Linked DNA regions of Callithrix jacchus. The protein of the gene in region 4 interacts with the protein of the main gene of each other region in a pairwise test. Links are inferred from orthologs where the notes say so. Each region holds a gene or a part of one and is shown on either strand. Other genes may lie near its edges.

Evidence for each region.
Region 1: the proteins of NTAQ1 (region 4) and CBY2 interact in binary tests that used the Homo sapiens proteins (3 or more experiments, as listed by UniProt). The two-hybrid records come from large-scale screens. The link is inferred for Callithrix jacchus from reciprocal best matches to the Homo sapiens genes NTAQ1 and CBY2.
Region 2: the proteins of NTAQ1 (region 4) and CCDC102B interact in binary tests that used the Homo sapiens proteins (3 or more experiments, as listed by UniProt). The two-hybrid records come from large-scale screens. The link is inferred for Callithrix jacchus from reciprocal best matches to the Homo sapiens genes NTAQ1 and CCDC102B.
Region 3: the proteins of NTAQ1 (region 4) and COIL interact in binary tests that used the Homo sapiens proteins (3 or more experiments, as listed by UniProt). The link is inferred for Callithrix jacchus from reciprocal best matches to the Homo sapiens genes NTAQ1 and COIL.
Region 5: the proteins of NTAQ1 (region 4) and BLMH interact in binary tests that used the Homo sapiens proteins (3 or more experiments, as listed by UniProt). The two-hybrid records come from large-scale screens. The link is inferred for Callithrix jacchus from reciprocal best matches to the Homo sapiens genes NTAQ1 and BLMH.
Region 6: the proteins of NTAQ1 (region 4) and ACTG1 interact in binary tests that used the Homo sapiens proteins (3 or more experiments, as listed by UniProt). The two-hybrid records come from large-scale screens. The link is inferred for Callithrix jacchus from reciprocal best matches to the Homo sapiens genes NTAQ1 and ACTG1.
Region 7: the proteins of NTAQ1 (region 4) and RBPMS interact in binary tests that used the Homo sapiens proteins (3 or more experiments, as listed by UniProt). The two-hybrid records come from large-scale screens. The link is inferred for Callithrix jacchus from reciprocal best matches to the Homo sapiens genes NTAQ1 and RBPMS.

Annotation. Positions count from the first base shown.
Region 1 is NC_133506.1:164,856,529-164,860,821, forward strand, and holds the start of CBY2 (protein chibby homolog 2), read left to right. Parts: upstream 1-1,493; 5' UTR 1,494-1,550; coding exon 1,551-1,640; intron 1,641-2,262; coding exon 2,263-2,343; intron 2,344-2,374; exon of another isoform or gene 2,375-3,019; coding exon of another isoform or gene 3,020-3,067; exon of another isoform or gene 3,068-3,107; intron 3,108-4,293.
Region 2 is NC_133514.1:111,492,655-111,496,154, forward strand, and holds part of CCDC102B (coiled-coil domain-containing protein 102B), read left to right. Parts: intron 1-664; coding exon 665-1,285; intron 1,286-3,500. UniProt on the Homo sapiens protein: During interphase, forms fibers at the proximal ends of centrioles to maintain centrosome cohesion. During mitosis, dissociates from the centrosome following phosphorylation to allow centrosome separation. Contributes to CROCC/rootletin filament formation.
Region 3 is NC_133506.1:109,380,970-109,385,238, forward strand, and holds the start of COIL (coilin), read left to right. Parts: upstream 1-1,469; 5' UTR 1,470-1,493; coding exon 1,494-1,738; intron 1,739-4,269. UniProt on the Homo sapiens protein: Component of nuclear coiled bodies, also known as Cajal bodies or CBs, which are involved in the modification and assembly of nucleoplasmic snRNPs.
Region 4 is NC_133517.1:73,963,403-73,967,114, forward strand, and holds the end of NTAQ1 (protein N-terminal glutamine amidohydrolase), read right to left. Parts: intron 1,269-3,712; coding exon 1,159-1,268; 3' UTR 501-1,158; downstream 1-500. UniProt on the Homo sapiens protein: Mediates the side-chain deamidation of N-terminal glutamine residues to glutamate, an important step in N-end rule pathway of protein degradation.
Region 5 is NC_133506.1:103,329,405-103,333,364, forward strand, and holds the start of BLMH (bleomycin hydrolase), read left to right. Parts: upstream 1-1,160; 5' UTR 1,161-1,323; coding exon 1,324-1,336; intron 1,337-1,627; coding exon 1,628-1,825; intron 1,826-3,960. UniProt on the Homo sapiens protein: The normal physiological role of BLM hydrolase is unknown, but it catalyzes the inactivation of the antitumor drug BLM (a glycopeptide) by hydrolyzing the carboxamide bond of its B-aminoalaninamide moiety thus protecting normal and malignant cells from BLM toxicity.
Region 6 is NC_133506.1:137,174,493-137,178,532, reverse strand, and holds the start of ACTG1 (actin, cytoplasmic 2), read left to right. Parts: upstream 1-1,240; 5' UTR 1,241-1,309; intron 1,310-1,688; 5' UTR 1,689-1,694; coding exon 1,695-1,817; intron 1,818-1,905; coding exon 1,906-2,145; intron 2,146-2,419; coding exon 2,420-2,858; intron 2,859-2,940; coding exon 2,941-3,122; intron 3,123-3,214; coding exon 3,215-3,358; 3' UTR 3,359-4,040. UniProt on the Homo sapiens protein: Actins are highly conserved proteins that are involved in various types of cell motility and are ubiquitously expressed in all eukaryotic cells.
Region 7 is NC_133514.1:31,625,894-31,629,393, reverse strand, and holds part of RBPMS (RNA-binding protein with multiple splicing), read right to left. Parts: coding exon 3,462-3,500; intron 2,247-3,461; coding exon 2,184-2,246; intron 1-2,183.

The DNA.
Region 1 (4,293 bases), on a different chromosome or scaffold from region 4:
GAGTATGGAAGCTCCCTGTCTCCCCATCCTCAATATCTTGTCCTATGCATCTCTCCTACTTAGCTGTTCCTGAGTTGTAACCTTTATAATAAAACTGTAACAGGCCGGACGTGGTGGCTCACGCCGATAATCCCAGCACTTTGGGAGGCCGAGGCGGGTGGATCACGAGGTCAAGAGATCGAGACCATCCTGGTCAACATGGTGAAACCCCTGATATGTGTAGCTGATCAATCAGAAGTACAGGTGGCTCAGATTTCTGATTGGCATCTGAAGTGAAGTGGGCTTGTGCAACTGAGCCCCTAGCTTACGGGATCTGATGCTAATGTGATTGGGCAAAAGGAGCTTGATGCCTGATGTGCCAGAGGCCAGTACCATGACACTGGGCTTTGGATAAAAGAATAGCTTTATTTTGAAAGTGAACTCCAAGAGATAGACCAGGGTCAGCAGAATCAGAGACGCTATAACTCCCTCTCCCATCTCCCACACCCACATTACAAGAAGCTTTGACTGAAGAAAATCTGCTTTTGGTAAAACCAAGAAGACGATTAATTACATTTCCAAAGATCTTTTTCATCTGAGTCAAGGAGTCTCTCTGTGCTGATATTAAGGCAGCATTTTTATTAGAAAAAGTTCAAGGAGTGGATTCTGAGATTAGTAGGTGATTCGTGCAAGGAAAGGGGAGGTCTGAAAAGTCCCTGGGCATGTGCAGTTACTTCTTCATGTTAACTCCTGAGTGGCGTGTGCAAATTCAGAGGGAGTCAGTACGAAACAAGGGTGGAAATTGGGGCTCATTCCATGCCAACTCCAGTCAGCCATCTTGGTTCTAACCCACTTCAGCCAGGCTTTTGATCTCGCAAGTGGAGGGAGTTTCAGTGTTTCAGAAGCTTCCTTCTTTTCTTATCTGCTGTCCTGCAAACTCAAAAAATTCTGTTACTGGTTTCTTACTCTTTGATGCTTTCCAGACCTCCCATTTCCATCCACCAATCACCTACTAATCTCAGACTCCACCCCCTGAACCTCCTTTTCCTATTAAAATGCGGCCTTAATGCCAGCACAGAGAGACAGATTTGAGCTTGACTCTTGTCTCCTTGTGAGTTGACTTTCAATATGAAAGCTTTTCTTTTTTAAAGAACTTAGTTTTAGTATTGTCTTCTATTGCATTGGCCAGTGAGCCCCTTCCGCTCTGTAACACTAACTCCAGGTAGATGGTGTCAGAATGAAATTGAATGGTAGGACACACAGTTGGTGTCAGAGAATTAAAGAATCGAGAGTGTCAGAAGACACCTCAGACTACACTTTCTCCCTTGGTCTGGGAAGAGTTTAGTTTGAGTGACCCAACTCCAAGAAGATACCACTTCTGGTGAAAGGACAGGACTCTCCACTGAGCCCGGCAGTGAGGACATGAATGCTGCTGGGATGACCCAACAGCGGGTGATGTTTGGGCTATTGTGTGTCATACTGACCCTGACCAGCCAAGTAGTCACAGCCCCCACAAGCTCTACCTGCCTGTCAGATGCCTCATTCCCACCTGTGACGCTCAGAGAGAAACCATGAGCTGTTTTGTGATGTCACCTCTGGAATGTTCTGAGTGTTTTGGTGACCAACTTCTGCATAGGACCTATACTTGGCAACTCACATTGGTATGGCTTTTTACTTGAGATAGAAATAATAATCTTAGACAAGCAGGTACAGCTATCTCTGCTTCAAAGACTTTCAAAAGCCTTTTACATCAACTCTATCTATCCTTTTTATTTTTTATTTTATTTATTTTTTTGAGATGAAGTCTCACTCTGTCACCAGGCTGGAGTGCACTGGCGTGACCTCAGCTCACTGCTACCTCCACCTCCCGGGTTCAAGTGACTGTGCTGCCTCAGCCTCCGGAGTAGCTGGGACAACAGGCATGCACCACCATGCCTGGCTAATTTTTGTATTTTTAAGAGACAGGGTTTTACCATGTTGACCAGGATGGTCTCGATCTCTTGACCTCATGATCCACCCACCTCGGCCTCCCAAAGTGCTGGGATTACAGCCTGAGCCACCGAGCCTGGCTATAATATCTACCTAAATATCTGTTCGGAGACTGATAAACCATCATATCAGATACCATCTACACATTCTTCCAGACTCAGATTTTCGTAATTGTACATAATTGACAAGAGGGAAATAAATGAGTAGGAAGTTCTATGTTTTTTAGGTGAGCAATTGAAACCCGGCCCAGAGGATGAGCTGGGAAGCTGCAATCTTCCTTTGTCTTTTCCACAGAACTCAAGGCCAGATTTTACAAGAAAAAGAGATCCCAGATCAGAAAGCCCAGAAATCCCAGTCAATGTGGTTCTACCTCAGGTAGGGGTAATCACAGAAGGATATAACTTACCAGTGTTACCCAGAAGAACCCCCCACCTCCTCCGTCAGAACTCTAGCAAGATGTAGAATAAGCAGAGATAGGGCTTCAGATTCTAGTTTGGGGTGGCTGCCAGCGGGCGGTGTGCTGGCGAAGAGCAGATAGCCGCTCCGGGCCTTGGGCTCTTTTCCCCACGAGTGAGGTGGCTGGGTCAGATGGTCTGGTAACCACTTCCAGTCCTAACATTCCGAGTTTCTGTGATACTCTGAAGTAGCCCAGCCTTCTCAAAACGAGATCTCTTGGTGCTTAGTGTTGTGCAATTGCTCTGGATTTCTCAGGGAGAATTAGAACTGGGACTGGAATCAAACGCGTAAGAATGAATCCATGAGAAGAAAACCTAGTCCGTGGACAAAGGGGCACAGAGTTATTTGGAGTCGTCGAGAGAATTAAGCCCTGCTGTGCACCAAAGGCAGATGTAAGGGCCATGGGCCTGGATGCTTTTGAGGTCAGTGAATTGGTGACGTCCTCACAGGCTAGAGAGTCTCGGGTCTCCTCCTGCCTGCAGTCAGCTGTTTCCTGGGGTCCTCTTGATTGAATTGTTTCTACTGCTGCTATGTCACAAAGGGGTGGCTTTGCTTTCTCCAGAGTTACCTAAGGCCGCCTTGGAAGGGCAGGGCCATGCAACCAGAGGGGTTGAAATGTAGGATGGAGGAATCCAGTGCAGAGGTAACTATCTCAGAACTCTGTCCAGGGATGTGTGGGAGGAGGACTGACCATTAGGACATTCCGGATGTATGGTGGTAACAGTCTAGCAAGTACGTTCCGCAGAAGGCACAAGTACGGAAGAAGAAAGCATTCTGGATGTTTGTTTTCAGGTTATCTTTATAACTTTGTCATGAAGAGTGACTTTTCTACTCGTTTTAGCTCATGAATCTTAGTCTGAATATAAGATAACTTCCTCCTGATCATTTGACAGGGTGACAGAAAGCTGATAACAAACTGTAGGAATCCTTTTGGGCCCGATTCCACCTGAAATACACAGGGATCTGTGTTGGCCCCTACTGCCCCGAGAGCTGGTGTTACTGCTGTGATTCTTTTTTTTTTGTTTGAGATGGAGTTTCACTCTCGTTACCCAGGCTGGAGTGTAATGGCGCGATCTCGGCTCACCACAACCTCCACCTCCTGGGTTCAGGCAATTCTCCTGCCTCAGCCTCCTGAGTAGCTGGGATTACAGGCACGTGCCACCATGCCCAGCTAATTTTTGTATTTTTAGTAGAGATGGGGTTTCACCATGTTGACCAGGATGGTCTCGATCTCTTGACCTTGTGATCCACCACCTTGGCCTCCCAAAGTGCTGGGATTCCAGGCGGGAGCCACCACGCCCAGCCCACTGCTGTGATTCTTTCATAGCCCATGTAAATCAATCTTTTCTTCCGGGGGCCTCTCACTTTACACGCTTTGAAATTACGTCAGATGGCTGAATGTTCTCTGATAGTAATCTCAGTAATGTTGGGAAAGGTGGTGTTTAAGAAACTTGGTCAGGCAGAGGGTGCCAACCCAGGGGTGGGTATGAAGGAGGGGAGAGGATTTGAAAGAGTAGTGTCATGTGATAGAGGGGCTGGAATGATGTTTCCACCCACGCCCACCACACTTTCCCTCCCCAGCTTCCAGAAACAGCCCAGTAGTCAAGGAGGAGAGGAGGTGGTTGAAGACAGCTCCAGCCTGTCTTGAGGCTGCCTGCTTCCTGTGCTGGAGGACCTAGTGTTGCTGCTGGGCTCCTGCGGGGAGAGTGGGTGGAGAATGAGAGTAAATCTCCTGCCTGGGAACCTGTACCTCACATGGGCACGTGCAGCCTTGTGTGTACACCTGCCAAGCGGGCACAAGCCACGCACCAGGTTATGGACACCTGTCAGGATGCTCAAGATTGGCACTCTGGGGGAGGGGTGTGGGTG
Region 2 (3,500 bases), on a different chromosome or scaffold from region 4:
TTTTATGTCATATGCTATCTGAAATTGTATCTTTATATTTTGACTTGTATTTGTTTGGCAAAATTGAATATGAGCATTTTCTATTTCTTAGTGGATAGTTACAAATGTTTAAATTCCTCCATATTTTTAGCTACACTGGAAAAATATGCAATATTGAAAAGATGGGGCTGGATGTGGTGGCTCACGCCTGTAATCCCAGCACTTTGAGAGGCCGAGGCAGGTGGATCATGAGGTCAGTTCAAGACCAGCCTGGCCAAGATGGTGAAACCCCATCTCTACTAAAACACAAAATTTAGCCAGGTGTGGTGGCACATGCCTGTAACTCCGGCTACTCGGAAGGCTGAGGCAGGGGAATTGCTTGAATCTGGGAGGCAGAGGTTGCAGTGAGCCAAGATTGGGCTACTACACTCCAGCCTGGTAACAGAGCAAGATTCTGTCTCAAAAAAAAAAAAAAAAGAAAACTAAAAGGAAAATAAAAGAACAAGCAAAAAAGAAAAAAAGCAAAGCAGGAGACACACAAACAAACAAATGCATGTAAAGCAATGTATTTTTTCTTTTTTTAGAAAAGATGCATTGCTTTCATAAATTTTCGAAAATGTAGGTCTTGTTCTTGTAATTGCAAGGGAAATTTCAGAGTGAAATTATGTTCTCTATCTTTTCTTAGGTCTTAACGATAAATATGAATTTAGATTCCATTCATCGGTTAATTGAGGAAACACAGATCTTCCAGATGCAGCAGTCATCAATTAAGTCACACTGTGACATGGTGGCACCTGCCTCACCCACCAGGGATACCTATAATACCTGCTTCCCATTTTATGGGCTACAGTCTCATGCTGCTCACAATTTATGTGCACATTCATGTAACACCAATGAATGGGATATTTGTGAAGAACTTCGCCTCCGGGAACTTGAAGAAGTCAAGGCCAGAGCTGCTCAGATGGAAAAGACCATGCGGTGGTGGTCGGACTGCACTGCCAACTGGAGAGAAAAATGGAGTAAAGTTCGAGCGGAAAGGAACAGTGCCAGGGAGGAAGGAAGACAACTCAGGCTAAAACTAGAGATGGCAATGAAAGAATTGAGTACACTGAAAAAGAAACAGAGTTTGCCACCTCAGAAGGAGGCATTAGAAGCTAAAATCACCCAGGATCTGAAGCTTCCTGGTTTCGTAGAAGAATCCTGTGAACATAGAGAACAATTTCGATTTGGTTTTCAAATGTGTGAGTCTATCAGAGAGTGTTTAGTAAAAAGACAATTTTCTACAAAGGAGGAAACAAATAATAAGGTAAGAAAGAATCCAGAGTTGATGTGAATTTCTGAATGTCATACGTAGTGACGGGAGGAAGAAGGAAGTGACAAATCCAGTGGTGACTATGCTAGTCTGCCAGGGCTACCGTCACAAAGTACCCTAATCAGGGTGCTTTAAGCAACAGAAATGCATTTTCTTACAATTGTAGAAGCTAGTAGTACACGATCAAGGTGCTAGCATGGTTGGTTTCTTCTGAGGCCTCCCTCCTTGGCTTATAGAATACTGATTTCTCCCCGTGTCTTCCATGGTCCTTTCTCTGTACACATGTCTGTGTCTTAAGTTCTTTTAGGACAGTCTAATGAACCTAATTTAACTAAATCATCATCCTAAGGCCCTGTCTTTACTAACAATCACATTCTGAGGTACTGGGGGCTAGGACTTCAACAAATAAATTTTGGGAAAGCACACTTTCAGCCCATACCAGTTGTTTTACTAATATTAATAGGGAAAAAAACTCAACAATTTTTTATCCGAAAAGAAAATATTTGGAGACATTTCTTTCCATTTACCTTAATTTGTCAAAATTGTGAACAATCCATAGTGTAGTTTGAATATTTCTCAAAGTTTGGGACTCAAGCCTCATGATTAACTTCTTATAAAATGGGTACTGCAGGCAAATAGGGTACTTTAGGAAATGCTTCATATGGTCCACACTGATGGAATTTCTTGATATACTTAGAATATCAGTTTCTGAGAATTCTGCACAAAACAAGTGTAACTTTAAAACGTCTATCAGTTTGTACACTTATTCACCCATGAACCGCCACTCTGTTTTGTTTGTTTGAACTTGGTAAATACTATTAACAACCCAAAGAACATACTTTGGGAACTCCTGTTACCTCTTATCATAATATCAGTTTATTTTGTTACCTCTTTTACTTTATCCCACCTCTAATACATATTAGTTAATATCTGGCACCACTACCATTGCATTTAGTGTTTTAAGCCATTCTATAACATATAGAATTTATGGTAGATAAAAACTAGAATTCATTGCAAATAAAATAATGAAGAAGATTACAATAATGTAATTACTTCTTCTTATTTGTTCTTTTACATTTTCTTTTAAAAGCATTCAATGTTGATAATCTAGGCTGTTAGTACCTTTGTATGTATCTTTTGGAAAATCATATATTCTCGAAATTCAGCTATATTAATGTATGCGCTAGAGGAATGTAATGACAAGCATAAGGGAATGTAGCTCACATAATGTTCTCTGAATCCACAAGACTTTTTTATTATTACAAGTTACTAGACTTTGCATTTGAGAGAATGAAGGATTCTCTTCACATGTATTATTATGGAAAATTCTCAGTATCTTGGGATTTCTTCTGAAATATCTTTGTAACATTAATGTCAAGAAGAAATCAAACATAGTAGGTATTTATTAAACTTTATTTATTTGCAAAAAATCCTTCTGGAATTTCCTTCTGATAGTAGGAAAATAAATATTACCTGTTGAAGAAGTTTTAATCATTTTTTTCCTTAAAACTTTGACCTAACTTTGCCAACTCTATGCCCAACAAGAAAGATATGTATATGTATCATTCATCTGACTTCAATACTTTCCATGAACAATACATCTTATTTTATTGTTTGTCAAAATATTATGATACAGATAATTGCAATACTCATTCTTGAGAGAATTGAGGAATGAATTATACTAGGTAATCTGGCACCCATATATTATTTAAAACATAAAATATTGAAGCATTCTGGAGATTTTACTTAAACTTGATTATTCAATGAGATTTTATTTGAAATTGTCTTTCACTTCGAACTTATAAACTAGGGTAAATTTAAATTATAGTCAAATACCAATAGCATGAGTCCTGTGAAGCTTTTGAGTTACGCACTAAGAATATTGACGCAGTTGCTGCTCTAGTATTGATGTCCGTATCAAGTGTCCCATTAAATTCTATTTGAGATGTGACTCATTAACTAAAATAAAGCAATAAGTGAGCTTATTGAAATATTCAAGAGCTTTCTGAAAATTCTATCGTCTTTCAAAAATGTTACAAAAATAATTACTTTGAAACTATGTCTTTCTTATGACAAAAGAAACTTGAAAAAGAATTCATCAACTCATTAAAAAATTCTTTTCAGCTGTTCAACTTTGTGCATGGTTATTTTTAGCTATGATTAGAAAAAGAAAACAAACAAAGAGGTAAAGCAGACCCTTTTAGAAATG
Region 3 (4,269 bases), on a different chromosome or scaffold from region 4:
TGGGAAGTCACTTGAACCCAGGAGGCAGAGATCGCACCCCTGCACCCCAGCCTGGGTGACAATGAGACTGTTAAAAAAGTAAAAGAAAAACAAAACACCTTGCTTTCACTTTAAAAAATTTGTTTTCAATTCATCTATGGAACCCCTGGTACCTACAACTTAACTGTCTAGTGACTTTGGGGAAGTTAATTCCTTTTTTTTTTTGACAGAATCTTGCTCTGTTGCCCAGGTTGGAGTGCAGTAGTGCGATCTTGGCTCACTGCAACCTCTACCTCCTGGGTTCAAGGGATTCTACTGCCACGGTCTCCTGAGTAGCCAGAATTATAGGCTCATGCTACCACACACAGCTAATTTTTATATTTTTAGTAGAGTTGGGATTTCACCATTTTGGCCAGGCTGGTCTCGAACTCCTGGTCTCAAGTGATCTGCCCACCTTGGCCTCCCAAAGTGCTGGGATTACAGGTGTGAGCCACCGCTCCTGGCCTCTAGTGTTATTTCTTAAACTCTCTGAACCTTGGTTTTAAAAAATCCTCTAAATGAGGATAATAGTTCATAATTCCTAACTTTCGTCATGAAAATTAAGAGTTAATATATATTATGTGGGAGAAATGTAAATTCTAGTTCGAAAAATAAAAGAAATAATGTAAAACTTCTGATTTACTTACTGGTGATAAATACAAGGACATTTTTGTTTAGTAGTGGATATTAAAAGGCTAAGGTATTCATATTCCACTGGAAACATTTGAAAGAGTGATTAGCAGTTTTATTTCAAAATGTCAACACTGAGAACACACTAGGATTTACATCTTTTTTTTTTTTTTTTTTTTTTTTGAGACGGAGTTTCGCTCTTGTTACCCAGGCTGGAGTGCAATGGCATGATCTCGGCTCACCACAAACTCCGCCTCCTGGGTTCAAGCGGTTCTCCTGCCTCAGCTTCCCAAGTAGCTGGGACTACAGGCACGTGCCACCATTCCCAGCTAATATCTGTATTTTTAGTAGAGACGGGGTTTCACCATGTTGACCAGGATGGTCTCTATCTCTGGACCTCGTGAACCACCCGCCTCGGCTTCCCAAAGTGCTGGGATTGTAGGTGTGAGCCACCGCGCCCGGCCTAGGATTTACATCTTTTTCAACTAATTATGATGAAAACTTGTCAGTGAAATGTGTTACGACTGTTTTATACAAATCTTTTACGTCGATGAGTAAGTATCTTAGAAGTTATTTATCCAGAGACTCGCCTTAATTAGGAGACCCTACAGAGCGCCCGGAAGAAATGTAATAAAGGCATTTCACTTATTCCCTCGCACAGCCCTGTAGTGAAAATAATTGAATGAAATCAACCACATGCTCCGAGTTCTCGCCCTAACGTAGCCTGTAGTAGCCAGGTTCCACCACTAGGTAGCACACGCCAAAAGCTCCGAGGGGCGGGCCGCCCGAGTACGCCACTCGGTAGCCCTGTGGTATCTCTCGGCTTCCGTTGAGCACCGAGCAAGATGGCAGCCTCCGAGACGGTTAGGCTACGGCTTCAATTTGATTACCCACCGCCAGCTACCCCGCACTGTACAGCCTTCTGGCTTCTGGTCGACTTGAACAGATGCCGAGTCGTCACAGATCTCATTAGTCTCATCCGCCAGCGCTTCGGCTTCAGTTCTGGTGCCCTCCTAGGCCTCTACCTGGAGGGGGGGCTCCTGCCCCCTGCCGAGAGCGCGCGCCTCGTGAGAGACAACGACTGCCTCAGGTGGGCGGTGCGGGGAACGGGACGGCCGGGTGGGCGGCGGGCGGGGGACGCGCCTGCGCACGCCTGGGCCTGAGACCGCTAGGCCTGGATGGGGAGGGGGTGAGGGATAGGAAGGAGGACGAGGGATGGGGGACGGGAGGTGGGACTGTAAAAATGGACGTTCGCGAACCCCGGAGATCCTGATTGGTGTAGTCAACTTTGGGATTCAGGAACCTGTATTTTATTATTTATTTTATTTTATTTAATTTTTGAGACGGAGTTTCTCGTTGCCCAGGCTGAAGTGCAGTGGCGCAATCTCGGCTCACCGCAATCTCCACCTCTAGCGAGTCTTCTGCCTCAGCCTCCCGGGATTACAAGCATGCGCCACCACGCCCGGTTAATTTTGTATTTTTAGTAGAGATGGGGTTTCTCTATGTTGGTCAGGCTGTTCTCGAACTCCCGACCTCAGGTGATCCGCCCGCCTCGGCCTCCCAAAGTGCTGGGATTACAGGCATGAGCCACTGAGGCCAGCCCTTTTTGATACTGACTCCCAGTCTGTCACCCAGGCTGGAGTGCAGTGCTGCTATCTCGGCTCACTGCAACCTTCACCTCCTGGGTTCAATGGATTTTCCTATCTCAGCCTCCCGAGTAGCTGGCATTAAAGGTGGGTGCCACCATGCCCAGCAAATTTTTTTTTTTTTTTTTTTTTTGCATTTTTAGTAGAGATGGATTTCACCATGTTGACCAGGCTGGTCTTGAACTATTGACCTCAAGTGATCCTCCTGCCTCAGCCTCCTAAAGTGTTGGGATTACAGGGGTGAGCCACTGCGTCTGGCTGGAATCTGCATTTTAACGAGCATCCTTCCCGAGTTGCTTCTGATGACAGGAGGACCAAACTCGGAAAAACCCTGATGTCTAAGGGCAGGCCCAGGGTTTCTTTCAGCCTTGATTTAGCACATCGGCCCCTTAGCAAGCGAGGAAGGCACTGTTTTCCATGCCCATGGTGCAGGTGTGCGGAAGACCCAGCCTTACCCTTGGCGGCGTTCAGGGTCAGGTACAGGAGACCCAAGCTGACAGAGGGGAATCATCACATTTTCTTCATAACATGCTCCTGTCCAACTTTAGTTCTCATGTGCCTGGGTTCACTCAAATAGGTGTCTGAGTCCTTTCGGGCTGTGAATTGGGAAACACAAAATACTCTGAAATATGCTTTTGGAAATTAAAATGATAATAAGTTGAGGATCCAGGAGCAATTGTAGTATGAATTGCCAAAATGTGGTTGAGTTGCCATGGTAAGATGATGAGATCCTATGATTCCAGTTTGGATTCATATCTTGGACCCATTTATTCAGGCTTTTTCTTTTTTAAATAAAGAGACTGGGTTTCCCATGCCCAGGCTGGAGTGCAGTGGTGCAATCATAGCTTGCTGTAGCCTCCACCTCCTGGGCTCAGGCAATCCTCCTGCCTCAGCCTCCTGAGTAGTTTGGACTTCAGGCGATGTAACCAGGCATGGATAACTTTTGTGTTTTTTGTAGAGACAGAGTTTCGCCTTATTGCACAGGCTGGTTGAACTTGCGGTCAAGCTGTCCTCTTGCCTCAGCCTCCCAAAGTACTAGGATTACAGGCGTGGGCCACTACGCCAGCCTTCCCTCCACCCACCCCCTTTAAGCTTCAGCTACAGTGAATCAATTCCAGAGTTGTGAACCAGGCTATTTTCTCTTGCTGCCCTTTGTTACTGAATATTCCTTACCCTCGAGCATGTCAGATTCCATAAGATTTCTTCAGAACGTCAGGGAATTTAATTTGGAACAATAACTGCTTCTTCAAATCAAAATGTTATGATTTAATAATGTTCAACTGTTTCAAATGATGATTTGAAATAATCTAAATTTCAGAGGTTTTTTTTTTTTTCCTTTTTACTGACTGTGAAATAGGTGTCTATTCTCTCTGCAGTTCAAGGACTATTTAAATACTCAATTGTAAGTATTGTGTCCTATCTTATTAAGTGTATTTTTTGCACTGTCCCTTGCCTAATTAGTTATTAATCTGTGCCAGCTAACTATAATTATACTTTAATGAATCATCTGGGCATTACATTCTTCATAGTGAAGTTAACAATGACAAAAAAATGAAAACTCTTATAAGTAATAATTACAACATGATGACAGGCAGATTCTTCGTAAATGCTTCAAATGCACAGCTGCATGTGGTAAAAAGACCTCTGCAGTGGCTTCAGTGGCAAATGGGCAGTCTGTAGAAAAAGACGAATCTGGAAAATTCATCTTTGTTTTTGTTGTTTCAGGCCCACAATCATTGTCTTTCCCTGAAAAGTTCACTTTTCTTCAGAGCTACAGAAGAAAACATAGTCTCTGTTCTCAAAGTACCTAATATTGTTGGACTGGGACCAAAATAATGAGTTTCATGCTTCTGTATATTACCTTCTGTGACACCGGCAATTAGACTGACCAGTTAGACCAAGTTATACTGCTAAGTGCAGAAGTCGGTTGAGAAAGCAGACATCAGCATGGAACAAAATGGTTAGGGAATTGAGC
Region 4 (3,712 bases):
TCTGCCTCCCGGGTTCAAGCGATTCTCCTGCCTTGGCCTCCCGAGTAGCTGGGATTACAGTTGCCCACCACCACACCCAGCTAATTTTTGTATTTTTAGACAGTGTTTCACCATGTTGGCCAGGCTGGTCTCGAACTCCTGACCTCATGATCCACCTGTGTCTTGGCCACCCAAAGTGCTGGGATTACAGGCATGAGCCACCATGCCCAGCCAACAGTCTCTTAATAAATAGAAATCTAAGAACAAAAGGTCAGATAATCTTGCTGTAAGAAGTTGTTCATTTTTAAAGCAGAATCATGAAAACATGAGAGTTGGTACTATACACCAGTTTAATGCCAAATATCTTTTATCTGGAATATGATTAAAGCCAAATGACCAAGATGTCTTCCGGAAGGTACATGTGATAAATATGTTTTAAAGCCCTGGTTCTCACCTACAATTGAGGCATTTTTAGGTATTTCAAATCATCAAGGGTGACACAAAAACCTTCAAAACAAAACCAGTGTTAAATCAATTTTATTTAAAGCCATAAATAAATAAGCTAAATAACACTCAAGTCTGAGAGGGCTGCCCTCTTTTTAACAATATCATAGTCCAAAAAGACTAATACTTCTTGCTGATTCAGCTCACAATATCACCCCTTTCCTAACAGCACATTCAAATGTTCAAGAAAACATTTTTAGTCTGTGAGTCTCCCTAAAAAAAAAAAAAAAAAGGAAAAAAGAAAACATTTTATGGGCACCTTTTATGGGCATTTGAGATTCACAGAACAATGGACCATGGGTCTGCCCTCAAGGAGCTTACAATGTAGTTGGAGAGACACAAAACATCCAGACAGATATGAGGGGCTGGCTCAACCTCCATACCTCTATCTGAACAAAAACGATCACTGGCTTAAGTCCACATGTTTTAACAAATAAGCCACAGGAATATCTTAGCAAGTACACACTAGATATCAAGTTTCAATTTAACATGTCAAAACAAAAGTTTTTATGTTGTTCATTTATATTCGTATTCACTCAGGTTTCCACTCAATCGAACTGAAAGAGAAAGACATAATTCCAAGCCAACTCTACCCTAGTGTTTGCTGTCCTCAGTGGAGGAATAGCATGTTCGTGTCCTAGAATTTTTCCACAGTTCCATATCTTGAGGCCAACTTCAGCAGTTTTTACTGCCAAACCAATGTGTAAATTCAGAAAGTGTGTAGACAGTGCCCCACCCTACCTCGGGATCCATACTGATGAAATCATTCAGGTTCATTTTGGAATCTAGAAAAATACATGAAAAAAGACATCCACTGAAAACACAATTTTTAGTTTAACAGCAATAAAACAACACAGAAGACCAACAGTAGGTAAAATTATCCAAACGGATAAGGGCTCAATGTCACTTCTGTGGTTTTCTTGCCTCAAATGTATAACTTCAATCCAATCATGACAAAACAGACACACCCAAATTGAGAGAAACCATATATCAGAGAAGAGGGAACTATACAGAAAGTGAGAGCTCCAGAGATCAGCAGAGGGGTCCCCCTGAGTCTCTGGCTAAGTACTGATCTTCTCTTCTATGGAATGAAACTTCAAGAGGCCAGGGAAAAAAATCACTAAGAAGGAGTAGATCTAATAATACCCAGAACTTCCAGAGGGCTAGAAATAATTCATGTCACTACCAGCCAGAGTGGAGAGAACTTGTAACATTGAGCATTCAGTAGCATCTTCAGAAGGGTCATGTCAGAGTAGGGGGGTTACGTCAGCCCTCAATGAAAGGCTGCTCTGATCCAGGCATGGTGGCTCACACTGTACCTCAGCCTGGGCAAGAGAGTGAGACTCCATCTCAAAAAAAAAAAAAAGTTAATCCTGGCCAGCATGGTGGCTCATGCCTATAATCTCAGTATTTTGGGAGGCAAAGGTAGGAGGACTGCTTGAGGCCAGGAGTTCAAGACCAACCTATGCAATATACTGAGTCCCTATCTTGAAAAAAAAAAAAAAAAAAAAAAAGACTGAGTCAATTCCATAACTAAACCCAAAGGCTGCTATATTAATGCATGTATCTAAAACATGTCTTAATTTAAATTCTGTCTTCTTTTTTTTGAGACAGCTCACTGCAATCTCCACCTCCCAGATTCAAGCGATTCTCCTGCCTCAGTCGCCTGGGTAGTTGGGATTACAGGCATGCGCCACCACACCTGGCTAATTTGTGTTTGTTGTTGTTGTTGTTTGAGACGGAATCTTGCTCTGTTGCCCAGGCTGGAGTGCAGTGGCACAATCTTGGTTCACTGCAACCTCTGCCTCCCGAGTTCAAGTGATTCTCCTGCCTTAGCCTCCCAAGTAGCTGGGACTAACAGGTGCATGCTACCACGCCCAGCTATTTTTTTTTGTATTTTTTCTAGAGACGGGGTTTCACCATGTTGGTCAGTCTGGTCTTAAACTGTCCTCAGTTGATCACCCACCTCAGCCTCCCAAAATGCTGGGATTATAGGTGTGAGCCACCGCGCCCAGCCTAAAGTCTGTTTTCTTGTGTCATTTTTTTGTTTGTTTTTTAAATTCCTTATTTTTTTAATAAAACACTACTCATTCACCACAAGTAATTCACACTTACCTAACTTCTAAATACATTCCTTCAATAAATATAGCGTTTGAAGTAACGAATTTACCATATAAGAGAACATTACAATTTGATTAAATTATTACATGAGAAACCAATATGTTTACCCCATACTTCAGAGTAGAGTCTCTCTAGGTTCAATTTCATGTGCAAGAGGCTCCTGATTAACTACAGGTGAGGCCAAAAAGACTCCTCCTGTAAGAAATCCCTCCTCGAGGCTGGGCATGGTGGCTCATGCCTGTAATCTCAGCACTTTGGAGGCTGAGGCAGGCAGATCACGAGGTCAGGAGATCGAGACCAGCCTGGCCAACATGGTGAAACCTCGTCTCTACTAAAAATACAAAAATTAGCTGGGTGTGGTGGCAACTGCCTATAATCCCAGCTACTCGGTAGGCTGAGGCAGGAAAATTACTTGAACCAGAGAGTGGGAGGTTGCAGTGAGTCAAGATCGTGCCACTGCACTCCAGCCTGGCGACAGAGCAAGACTCCATCTCAAAAAAAAGACAAACCCCTCAGGGTGCCAACTGAGCTGGCAGCTTCCTAGCTGTGCACCCTTAGGCAAACATCTTAACCTTCCTGTGTTTCATTTTATTCATCTATCACATGAGAAAAATACAACTGGCCTCACTGAGTTGTGGTAAAAATTAAACTAAGATGGGCCTGGCACAGTGGCCCACCCCTGTAATCCCAGCACTTTGGGAGGCCAAGGCGGAAGGATCACCTGAGGCCAGGAGTCCAAGACCAGCCTGGCCCACATGGAAAAACCTCATCTCTACTAAAAATATAAAAAATAGCCAGGTGTGGTGGTACATGCCTGTAATCCCAGCTACTCGGGAGGCTGAGGCACAAAAATCACTTGAACTGGGGAGGTGGAGGCTGCAGTGAGCTGAAATCATGCCACTGCACTCCAGCCTGAGCAACAGAGTTTCAAAAAAAAGAAAGAAAAGTAATTGGGCCGGCAATGCTCGCTTCGACAGCACATATAGTAATTGGGCTGGCAAAAGTCCAGCACAAAATAGCATCCAATGAGTAGTAGTCATCAAAACCAAAGGAATTGCCCCAGTTGGACAAGGGCTGACAAGGGATTCACTACATGTCTACTATGCAC
Region 5 (3,960 bases), on a different chromosome or scaffold from region 4:
ATAATTTTCAGCCCCTTCTTCAGATATTGAAAGAATAGATGGTAGATGGGCCCACTTAAAATAGTTGCTGTTATAACCCCAAGTTTTAGCTGAGTCTCTCTAGGGACATGGAAACTAATTTCTCAAATGACTGATTGGTGCCTGAGTATGGATTTTTCCAGATATCAGAGTTCCTGTGATGATTTTCAGTCTAAGAAGACCTAGATTCTAGGTTACACACACACTCATTGTTTTGAATAGCAGATACAGGGTTTCAGTGTTTTAGTTTTACCCTCTGTGGGTTCTAACCCAACATCTCACTAAGGGCTGAGATTTCAGGGCATGAAAAACAGAATCAACAAAAACAAGGTTTTTACAATCTCAAAACTTTGGAAAACTGCTGAGTTATCTTGAAAGCCTAGAGGTTTTGTAGAGAATCCGGTGAAACAATATTGATGCTTAAGGCTGACCACTGTCATTCTCTCCTGAGTTAAACCCAACAGGACATGCTGGACTACATAGGAGACATTCGTGGACTCCATGAAGACCAGATGGGTAGTGTTCTTGAAATGAGCACATGTCTATTTGCAGAACTCTGGTAGTAGCTTTGGAGTGGGTGGGAAAGAGCTTGGCTCCAATTTCTCCTCCAAGACAATTATTTGATTCTGATCCAATCAACAAGTGGCCATTGAAAATGCAGTGATTGGTCAGCAAACGAAGCCTACGGTAGGAAGAGCCTTCGGGTGCATGTATTGTGACAAATCAACCCGTCCTAAGCCCGACGCTTAATTACGGAACCTCTCAGCATCTCCCTCCCGCCTCGAGCCCGCTTTTGGCTTCTCACAAGGCTTCCTGGGGACAATTCCCCTATGCCAGAGTGAGTACTCGGGGTCTGGGCCCGTAGGGAACCCGTCAGCCTCCCTCCTGGAGCTGGCCTGATTGTAGCAAGGCGCCCGCGCAGCGCGGAGGCGGGAACCCATCGGGGTAGTGGGGGATCGCGCTCCGGCGCCGCCCAGGCGCGCAGGGCAATGGTGTGGTCGTGCGCGGCTGTGGGCGCGGGCCGACCTAGCGCGTCAGCCAGGCCGCCCCCGTCGGCCCTCCCCCGGGCGGGGCTAGCTCCGACGTCGCTGACTCAGCAACGCGAGGGGTAGTTTTGTCCCTCCGCGGACCCCGTTTCTCCCGACCTCAGACTCCTGGCCGCCGCAGCAGAGCCGGTTTCCTTCTTCCGGCGCTCCGGGTGTAAGAAGCCGGTCGGGCCACCTAGGCAGCGAGCCGCAGCGCAGTCCCGGAGCTCGCCCGAGGACCCTGGAAGCTACCGTTACCTCGCCGGGCACCGTGGGCGCCATGAGCAGCGCGGGTGAGGCGCCGCCGTGGTCCTCTCTGGAGGAGCTCCGCGGTCCTCGTGAGGCCCGGCGGCGGGGAAGGCTGGGGGCGATGGCGGGGAGGGAGCTTTCGGGGCAGGCTGGAGCGGCCTGGAGGGGCCCTGAAGGGAAACGGCGCCTTGGAGGTGGATGCTGCTCCTGGGTTTCCCCGCTGCAGCGGGCACCTCAGGATGCGCTTACCAAGTTAGATCCGGGATGCGGGAGCCCCAGATCAGCTCTTTCCCCCGGTCTTTTTGGCATTGAAATCCCGTTTGGTTTCCCAACAGGACTGAATTCGGAGAAGGTAGCTGCTCTAATACAGAAACTGAATTCCGACCCCCAGTTCGTACTTGCCCAGAATGTCGGGACCACCCACGACCTGCTGGACATCTGTCTGAAGCGGGCCACGGTGCAGCGCGCGCAGCATGTGTTCCAGCACGCCGTGCCCCAGGAAGGCAAGCCCGTCACCAACCAGAAGAGCTCAGGTATGGGCTTCCACTTCTCCCGTACTTTTCCTTGACCTTCCTGACAGCATCCCATTTTGGTGTCTTTACGAGTGGTCTTAAGTTCGTACTGAAAGAGCTGGTCGTAAATTCGTAGAGAATGAGGTACAGGTACAGGCAGGTCTAAGAACATTACCCATGTGGTTTGTTTTAGTGTACTGTGGCTTGTTAGCACATGCGGTTAGAGTACTAAAGTGACAAGTCCGTGAGCATACGTTTGAGTGTAATTCACTATATTATGTCCTGATGTTTACGTGGTTTGTAGCCCATGTCTTGCAGATCGATGGTCTTGGTCACAAAACAGAGCATTGCGGAAATGTTCATATTCTTGGAGGACTCTCCAGAAATGCCCTGAAGGCCCTATACAAATTTATGAAATAGGAAAGATACAATGTAATTACATTAAAATGCCATCAGGTGTTACTTTTAAAGCTGCTTCTTGGTTACAACTGAAGCTAATGTGTTGATGGGCTCAGTTCCCACCAGTAGATCAGTTTGTAACACTGGAGAAAGTTCTGTTCTCGTGTCTTACTGGTCAAGAAGTCTCGTTTTGCTCTCTACTTTCTTACACCACTCTCAGAAAAACAGCTACAGTGAAAGATTGGATTTCTAGGGATCTAATTAAGGAGCACATTCTCACCACAATATTGTAGTAAAAGGATTTTTAAAAAGTCTTTATCTACTTAAAAACGACTCCCAGTCTATCTGTATGAACAGGAAGCACATTAGTGCTTGTTTATAGTCAGTCAGAACTCACAAAGCACACGTTTCACGAATACATTTTATAGTATGTACGTTATACATCAATAAAGTTGATTTTTAAATGTTAAGGAAAAAGTCAAGACCTTACAATAATTAGTGTTTTGCTCTAGAAGAAAGTGCTTGGAGTGGTGTGAACTCTCAGGCTACAGATGATCCAGTTGGTAATGTTACAGTGGTCCTACATAGTTTAGATTGCAGTGATCTCTTAGGGAACAGGTCAGGTCTTACACATTTTGCAGTGTTACTTTAATATATACAAAAGATTCAAATAGCATGTGAGCTGTGTACTTTATTTTCATGCAGTTTTCACATCACCAGTGCATCCAGATCCCTTCTACTAGAAATATGTAGCATATAGAAGAGAGGTTGCATACAGATAAATCTAAGGAAAAGATGAACTATAGTAAGGCACTAGTGACTTTCAGAAAACACTATAGTTAACTGTAGAGTTTTTTTCTTGTTACAAAATTATTTTTGTTTAATGTACAATATTTACAAATACCAGGTGAATATTTTTGCTATATATTTGTCAGGTCTTTGTGTGTGTGTGTGTGTGTGTGTGTGTGTGTGTGTGTATGTGTGTTTAATGTGGGTTGATAGCCTATACATTGTTATGTAGTCTACCTACTTTTTTCACTTACCAATATATTATAAACATATTTTCATACCAGTAAAGTTATACCCAATACAACTCAAGGTTTTTCCTTCAGAATTTTCCTTCAGAGAAGAGAGAATTACCCTATATTTAAGACCTTGAAGACTTTTCTAATGGGCACTCTCAGTTAATTTATTTTGAAGTAGAGTACAATTTGGAGAAGACTTTATTCTGAAAAACCTCAGATGCATACATTTTTGCATGCTTACAGAGATCCTTTTATTGAATCAGCTTCTTTTAAAAGGTGACAAATTTGAATAAATTGATGTTGTAAATAGACCTTTTAAATGAAGACCACTTAAGTCAGAACAGGAAGTGGTGACGTGGAGTTTGTGATTATACACATACAGGACACATGAAGAATCTGATTGTGTAGTTGATGCTTGGTATAGAATTTTCAGGGACAGCATCATGCATGGATTCAAAACATTGCTGTGACTCAAACATTCTAGATGGAAGAAAGATGACGTGTGCCGATTGAAAGAATGGATCTAATGATGGCACAGATACTGACTGCTAGGTACATGTGAAGATTGAATCAGTGTGAAAATGACATGTAAAGTGGGAAACACAGTGCTTCTAAGTCCATTTATTATGTTAACATGATTTTAAATCTAAGATATATTTAAATTACTAAAGTATTGGCCAGATGCTGTGGCTCATGCCTATAATCCTAGAGCTCTGGGAGGCTGAGAATAGG
Region 6 (4,040 bases), on a different chromosome or scaffold from region 4:
CAGGGCGCGGGACTCCGCGTGGGGACCTCGGTCCCGCCCCCCAGCCTGTCGAGTACAGCTGAACGGTCTGCGACCTTGGCCGAGTCGTCGCCTCACTGCGCCGCCCCACTGCCCCTCCGTGGCCGGCACTCTCATCCTGAAAATTCCACAGCACACACGGAAACCGTAGCGCCGGGAGCCCCGCGGGGTGTAACCGAAGCACCGCGCTAGCAGGTGCGGCCAGGCCGGTGCCGGGGATGACAGGTCTTCCCGCCGAGTCTCCAAGCGAGGCGTGCGCGCCCGGGACCAGCCAGCCTGTGCCCAAACCCACGCCAGCCCTGACCCCCTGCCTTTAACTGGCCTCGAAAACAGGGAGGGGATTCCCCGCGGCCTCCCCAGACTGGGGAGCCGACCTTCAAGAAAGTCAAGATTATGGTCTCTACCTCAGTTTCCCTATAATGTCTACAGGTGAGCAGCATGAAACAAAGGCCTCGCTGCGCACCGCCTACTCAGCAGATAGGGGGCGGGATAGCCCCTACCCGGAGCCTGCGCCTGGGGCAAACCGGGCCTGTGATTTCAGGGACAGGGATGTGTCGGCTCGGGTAGAAAGGGGTATCGGGCTCCAAACCCACGGAGACCCGGGGCGGGGCGCCCCGTGGAGGGACCTGTGGGGTAGTGGCTGCGTTCGGGGACGGGAGGCTTCTTCCTATGGTGACCGGGGCGAGGTGAGGGCTCCCCCGCACCTAGAAACGCCGAGCGCCGGGGATCCCCGCCGCGCCCCTCCCCCAGCCCGGCCCGGGCGTGGAGCCCGAAGGGAAAGCCCGCAGGGGACGTCCCGGGGAGCAAAGCCCCGCAGCGTGGCCCGGACCGCGGGGACCCACCCCAGCTCCCGCATGGCCCCGCCCCGGGTCAGGCAGTTTCGGGGCGCAGCCCGGCCCTCCCCACACGGCAGTCCCGGGTCGCAGCCAGGCCCGTCAGCCCTTCGGCCTTCCGAGCGACCCCGGGAGGGAGACCCCACCCAGCCCCCCTCGCCAGCCCCAGTGTCGCGAGCGCGCGGGGGTGGCGCAGGCGGTGCCGGTGGGAGGTGGTGCGGGCTGGGGGCGGGGCGGACCGGGGCCCCACGTGACCAGGCCGGGCGGGCCAATGAGCGCCCGGCTTTCGGAAAGATCGCCATATATGGACATGTTCTGGGGCCGCGCGCGCCGCCGGGCCGCGCGGGCGCGCTGCTTTCTCTTAAAAAGCGGCGCGGGAGGCCCCAGTCGGTCTCAGTCGCCGCTGCCAGGTCGCGTACGGTGTTCTCTTGCTGCTCCGCTCCCCTGCTCCTCTGCTGGTAAGCGCTCCTCATCGGACCCGAGGAGGATGTTTCTGGCCGTCCCCCCTCGACCCCCGCGGGCCCCGCTTTCCGCCGCGGACGCTTCGCCGCGTCGTTTTCGGGAACAAAAGGCTGGCTCCGCCTGGGTGGGCCACGCGGGTACCGTTGGGCGGATGCCGTAGGTTTAGGGCGGGGCCCGGCCGCAGTGCGGAGTTCGGGGCGGTGGGCTTTACGTAAAAGGCACGGGTGCTGGTTCAAAGCTGTTGTGGTGTTGGAGGCTTCGGCTTCCGGGGTTGGGGTGGAGCGTAACGCTCCTCCGCCGGAGGGTCTTGGTTGGCTCTGGGTGGCGGGGTTGTTTTCCAGCGGGCCCCGCCTGAGTCCGTCGCTTTCCTGGCAGGTCGCAATGGAAGAAGAAATTGCTGCGCTCGTCATCGACAATGGTTCCGGCATGTGCAAAGCTGGCTTTGCTGGGGACGACGCCCCCCGAGCCGTGTTTCCCTCCATTGTCGGGCGCCCTCGGCACCAGGTGAGTGGAGGGCGCCACGGGGCTCCTGGGTTCTGCGCTGCGGGATGGGATCGGGGGCCGCGGCGAGCCTGATGGCAACTCCCTGCAGGGCGTGATGGTCGGCATGGGCCAGAAGGACTCCTACGTGGGCGACGAGGCCCAGAGCAAGCGCGGCATCCTGACCCTGAAGTACCCCATCGAGCACGGCATCGTCACCAATTGGGATGATATGGAGAAAATCTGGCACCACACTTTTTACAATGAGTTGCGTGTGGCCCCGGAGGAGCACCCCGTGCTGCTGACCGAGGCCCCCCTGAACCCCAAGGCCAACAGAGAGAAGATGACTCAGGTGAGGCTCGGCGATGCCCGTGCTCTCGTCCGTTTTCCTAGTCATTTTCTGCCCAGCTTGATTTCTGACATTTAAGTGTTTCTTTCGCTGTTCCAGGCTCTGTTCCTCTCCCGGCATTTCCTCCCTGAAGCCTCCAGGTTTCTTATTTGGTTTCTGCCTGCGTTCTTTTCTGTTCTCCACACATCACACTGGCATGCAGCATGTTGTGGCGTGTGAGCATGGGGTGGTCGCGGGTCCTTGCCCCTGACTAAGCCGTCTCGTCTTCTACCTTCAGATCATGTTTGAGACCTTCAACACCCCAGCCATGTACGTGGCTATCCAGGCCGTGCTGTCCCTCTACGCCTCTGGGCGCACCACTGGTATTGTCATGGACTCTGGAGACGGGGTAACCCACACGGTGCCCATTTATGAGGGCTATGCCCTTCCACACGCTATCCTGCGTCTGGACCTGGCTGGCCGGGACCTGACCGACTACCTCATGAAGATCCTCACGGAGCGCGGCTACAGCTTCACCACCACGGCCGAGCGGGAGATCGTACGCGACATCAAGGAGAAGCTGTGCTATGTCGCCCTGGACTTCGAGCAGGAGATGGCCACAGCTGCATCCTCCTCCTCTCTGGAGAAGAGCTATGAGCTGCCTGACGGCCAGGTCATCACCATTGGTAACGAGCGGTTCCGGTGTCCGGAGGCGCTGTTCCAGCCTTCTTTTCTTGGTAGGTGTTCAGTCTAAGGGCTTCTGAGAGCGCTTTGATTCTGGGCACCATAGCACCACTAAGGGAGGGCTTTGTCCCCTAGGCATGGAATCTTGTGGCATCCATGAGACCACCTTCAACTCCATCATGAAGTGTGATGTGGACATCCGCAAAGACCTGTACGCCAACACTGTGCTGTCTGGCGGCACCACCATGTACCCAGGCATCGCCGACAGGATGCAGAAGGAGATCACTGCTCTTGCGCCCAGCACCATGAAGATCAAGGTGAGTTAAGGGATCGGTGGCCCTCGGCCTGGCTCAGGATGCCTGGCTGGGGATGCTGTGTGAACTCAAGCCATGCCTGGCTGTCTTTGCAGATCATTGCACCCCCAGAGCGTAAGTACTCCGTGTGGATCGGCGGCTCCATCCTGGCCTCACTGTCCACCTTCCAACAGATGTGGATTAGCAAGCAGGAGTACGATGAGTCTGGCCCCTCCATCGTCCACCGCAAATGCTTCTAAATGGACTGCGAGCAGATGCGTAGCATTTGCTGCATGGGTTAATTCGGAAGTATAAATTTGCCCCTGGCAAATGCATACACCTCATGCTAGCCTCATGAAACTGGAATAAGCCTTTGAAAAGAAATTGTCCTTGAAGCTTGTATCTGATATCAGCACTGGATTGTAGAACTTGTTGCTGATTTTGACCTTGTATTCAAGTTAATTGTTCCCCTTATTTGTTTAATACCCTGTACATAGCAGATTTCAACTTTTAGTACATGTGGCTTGGTCACTTCGTGGCTGAGGTAAAAATGTGCTTGGGGGCAGACAAGTCTGCCTTGGTGAGTGCATGGCCAGCAGTCTCTTAGTTGAGCAGGGTATTCATGTGTCAGAGCTTAGTGTTCTGGGATTGCTCTAGAGGCTGGCAAGGGCTGCCAGTCTGTCAGGGTGGGAAAGTCCAAGCCATAGGACCCGGTCTCCTTTCTTACCTGATGTTTTCCTGCCAGAGCACCATGGGCTGTTACTTGCCTTGAGTTGGAAGCGGTTTTCATTTACACCTGTAAATGTATTCATCCTTTTAATTTATGTAAGGTTTTTTTTTTATTGTACACAACTGTCAAATCTTGAAAGAGATGACAACAAATTTCGGTTTTCTACTGTTATGTGAGAACATTAGGCCCCAGCAACACGTCATTGTGTGAAG
Region 7 (3,500 bases), on a different chromosome or scaffold from region 4:
CATTTAAATATTAAAAAACAACCTTCGGGCTGGGTGTGGTGGCTCAAGGTTGTAATCTAAACACTTTGGAAGGCCAAGGCAGGAGAATCGCTTTAGTCCAGGAGCTTGAGACCAGGCCGGGCAACCTGCCTTTATTTTTTAACAAACAAACAAACCAACAAACTCCTTAAGTTATCTTACAAAAAAACAAAACAAAACAAAAATGCAACCTACCACCTAAGGGAATGCTGCCTTGTCAGATGAGAGGTCACAATAAAAGCCTATTGCTCGGAAAATGAGTCAGTGACATCTCTATACACACATGAGAACTACAGTAAAGCAGTGAGAGCCACGTCTGTGATGCTTCAACTGCTTGTTACTTCCTTAGTAAGAACAATGAAAAGAACATGGTGAAAACTTCATCTAACATAACTTTAAAGGACCCAGAATATTTCTGCATTTAGAAGGTGTCCACCTAGTTAAAATAAAGTTTCAATTTCTGCTAAATTGAAACTGTGGTTCTATTTTCAAGTTTAAAGTGTCATTATACTGGGAAAATTCAGGTTTTATGTATTTAATGCAGAATCAAAACATTCCATTATATACCGGGGTTCAGTGTATACCATTGGTGTTCAATAAATAACTGGTTTCTGCTTTGTTCTACAGGAGAGGAACAGAGTGAGTAGGCAGCTATTCTGACCAGCCAAATCCAGAAAAATTCTGGACTGTGGAATTCCTGGAATCCTAAGGTGTTCCTATGTGTTTTATATGAAAACAACAACAACAATTAAGCAGCTTCTTCCCAGAGTGTACACATTTTTGTTCCAAAGTCTAAAATCTTTCAATGTTGTGTATCAATGACACTATTATACAAAGTAAACAGACTCATATAAAGACTTTTCCTTGGACCTCCAAGTCATTACCTATATCAGGTATTTCCAACACCCCTCTACATGGTCTGCTCAAAGGAGCAGCTAGCCAGTAGGGTACCTTAAGGTAACACAGCAACACAAAGACCAAACACAAGTTCCCAGAAGCCTCCAAAATGGTACCTGTATTGCAACCAGTCAAGTGGTTGCTTGCCTTTTAGGAAGCATCCTTAACACTCTTAGTGCTTTAATCAGCCCTTGCTCATAGCCACTTAGGCCAACTGCCTAGAGCATGATGGAGCCAGACCTCACAGAGACTCAGCACATGAGGATTCATCCTCAGCATCTGAAACTACATTCTGCTTCCTTTCACCTTCTCTAAGCTTAATTCCCTTAAGTTGTTTAATTTTCCAACATACGAAAGAAGAAACTTATTTACCAAAACAATACTGGCAAAAGTCTCAAAACACACAGCAAACAACATATCTACAAACCAAATACAGGTATATCTACTTAATTACAAATGACTGTAATTTATTCTAACACACATGCCTTTTGGGAAAGCCTTATAAGTAAATTTTTAATCAACCAGAATAAAGGCTATGACCAGTTTTTTGTTTGTTTGTTTGTTTGTTTGTTTGTTTGTTTTAAGCTGTATATCTAAAAGGAAAGCCTCATGAAATAAGAAAAGCCAGGATTTCGGCCGGGCGTGGTGGCTCACGCCTGTAATCCCAACACTTTGGGAGGTGGGCAGATCACAAGGTCAAGAGATCAAGACCAACCTGGCCAACATGGTGAAACCCCATCTCTACTAAAAATACAAAAAAATTAACAGGGTGCGGTGGCGCGCACCTGTAGTCCCAGCTACTTGGAAGGCTGAGGCAGGAGAATTGCTTGAACCAGGGAGGCGGAAGTAGCAGTGAGCTGAGGTGGTGCCACTGAACTCCAGCCTGGTGCCTGGTGATGGAGTGAGAATCTGTCTCAAAAAAAAAAGCCAGGATTTCTATCTGTTCTGGGCGTAGCCATTTAGAGTACAATGACAACCAAGCCAATCTCTCAATGATCTCCTCTGGAAAAAACAAAGCAGCACTACACACCACCATGGGATAGGATGGGGCTGGATTAAAATAAGACCCACATCATCAGATGTCAGGTACTTTGAGCATATCTGATCACAATTCTTGGAAAAAGCTCTTTAGAGGGCTAAATTGATGAATCCCTCTCTCTTAGATTGAGCAGTCATATTCTTTCCACTTGAATTCCCGTCCAAAGAGATTCCACTACTTCCCATCACCTCATATGGAAACCCCCTACAATTACATCATTAATACTTACATTCAAAGCATTCTTTGCAGCTTCTGCTTCTGAGCGACTGTCAAAACTGACAAAACCTACGGGCTGAGGAAAAAAGAGAAATATGAAGAAAAAAAAAATCAGACGATATCTATTTTTCTGGGTTAAGGGTGCTATCAAACTGAAAAGCTAAGACAAAGAAATGATCACAGGCAATGGGTAGAAATAAGAAAGCGAAATACCGAAGAATCATGACTCAGTGGCTTAGCCAAATTTCTAACATGAATCAAAGGGATGGTGAGGGTGGTTCTTCAAGGGCACAGCTGGGGATTTAGAGAATCATAAAAAAAATCTAGAAGTGGTTGAAAGGTGAACAGCAGTGAAGAAGGGAATAGAGGAAAACTTGGGTCGGAGAGGCTCTACTTTCCTAAATCAAATTCACTGTACCTCAGTTTCTTCATCTTTTAAAATGGAAAGAGAACCGAATCACCTTTTGGTACACTGTAAGTGCAAGGAATACAATGATACAATGATAAAACCCCTGGACTCTCACTGCATGACCAAAATGACAAAGTGAACATTCCTATCTCAAATCCCAAGGGATGCCTTAAAAATCTTGTGCTTAATTACGCTGTTCTGAGTAAATACAGGAAGGCCATAACCCCTTTGGCCTCCACACATCTATCAATCCAGAAGGGTGTGCCTCCAAGATCATTCTTTTGATGAAACAGAGAGATAGAACAGTGACTGGAGGAGAGGTGTGTATGCCAAGTGTTTAACTTAAAAAAAAAAAAAAAAAAAAAAAAAAAGAATATAGCTACGATCTCTAAGAAACTTGTAGGAAACTGTCAGAATCACTGACTACCACTTCCATTTTGTACCTTCTCTGTTCCATTCTAGACTTGGGACTCTGCCTTACTTTAGTGGTTTGACAGACAGCATGATCCTTCACTATCTGACATGATGTTAAACAAACTGTAAAAGTTTAACATCATAAAAAGAAATGAGAAAGACTTGGGAATAAAAGTGAATTTAGATAATAAGCCATTATTTTCACTGATTCACCAAATCAATCTCAATAAACTACTGTGTTTATCTTGCTCTGGGACAGTCCCTGAAATTCCAGCTGAAGACTACAGAATTATGAAACATTTTCCTGTGCTAATTCCTAATACATCTCACTCACTCTTAATGTTAAAGACCAGAAAAAAAAAAACAAAACTCAAATTCTAATGTGAATAAAAAAAGAATATCAAGCCCCAGCAACATTCCTGAAGAAAGTAAAAAAGTGATCTTTATATGCCAGTTTGAAATTCTTACCTGTTTAGATGTGAGCTTTATAAGAGAACCCTCATAGCC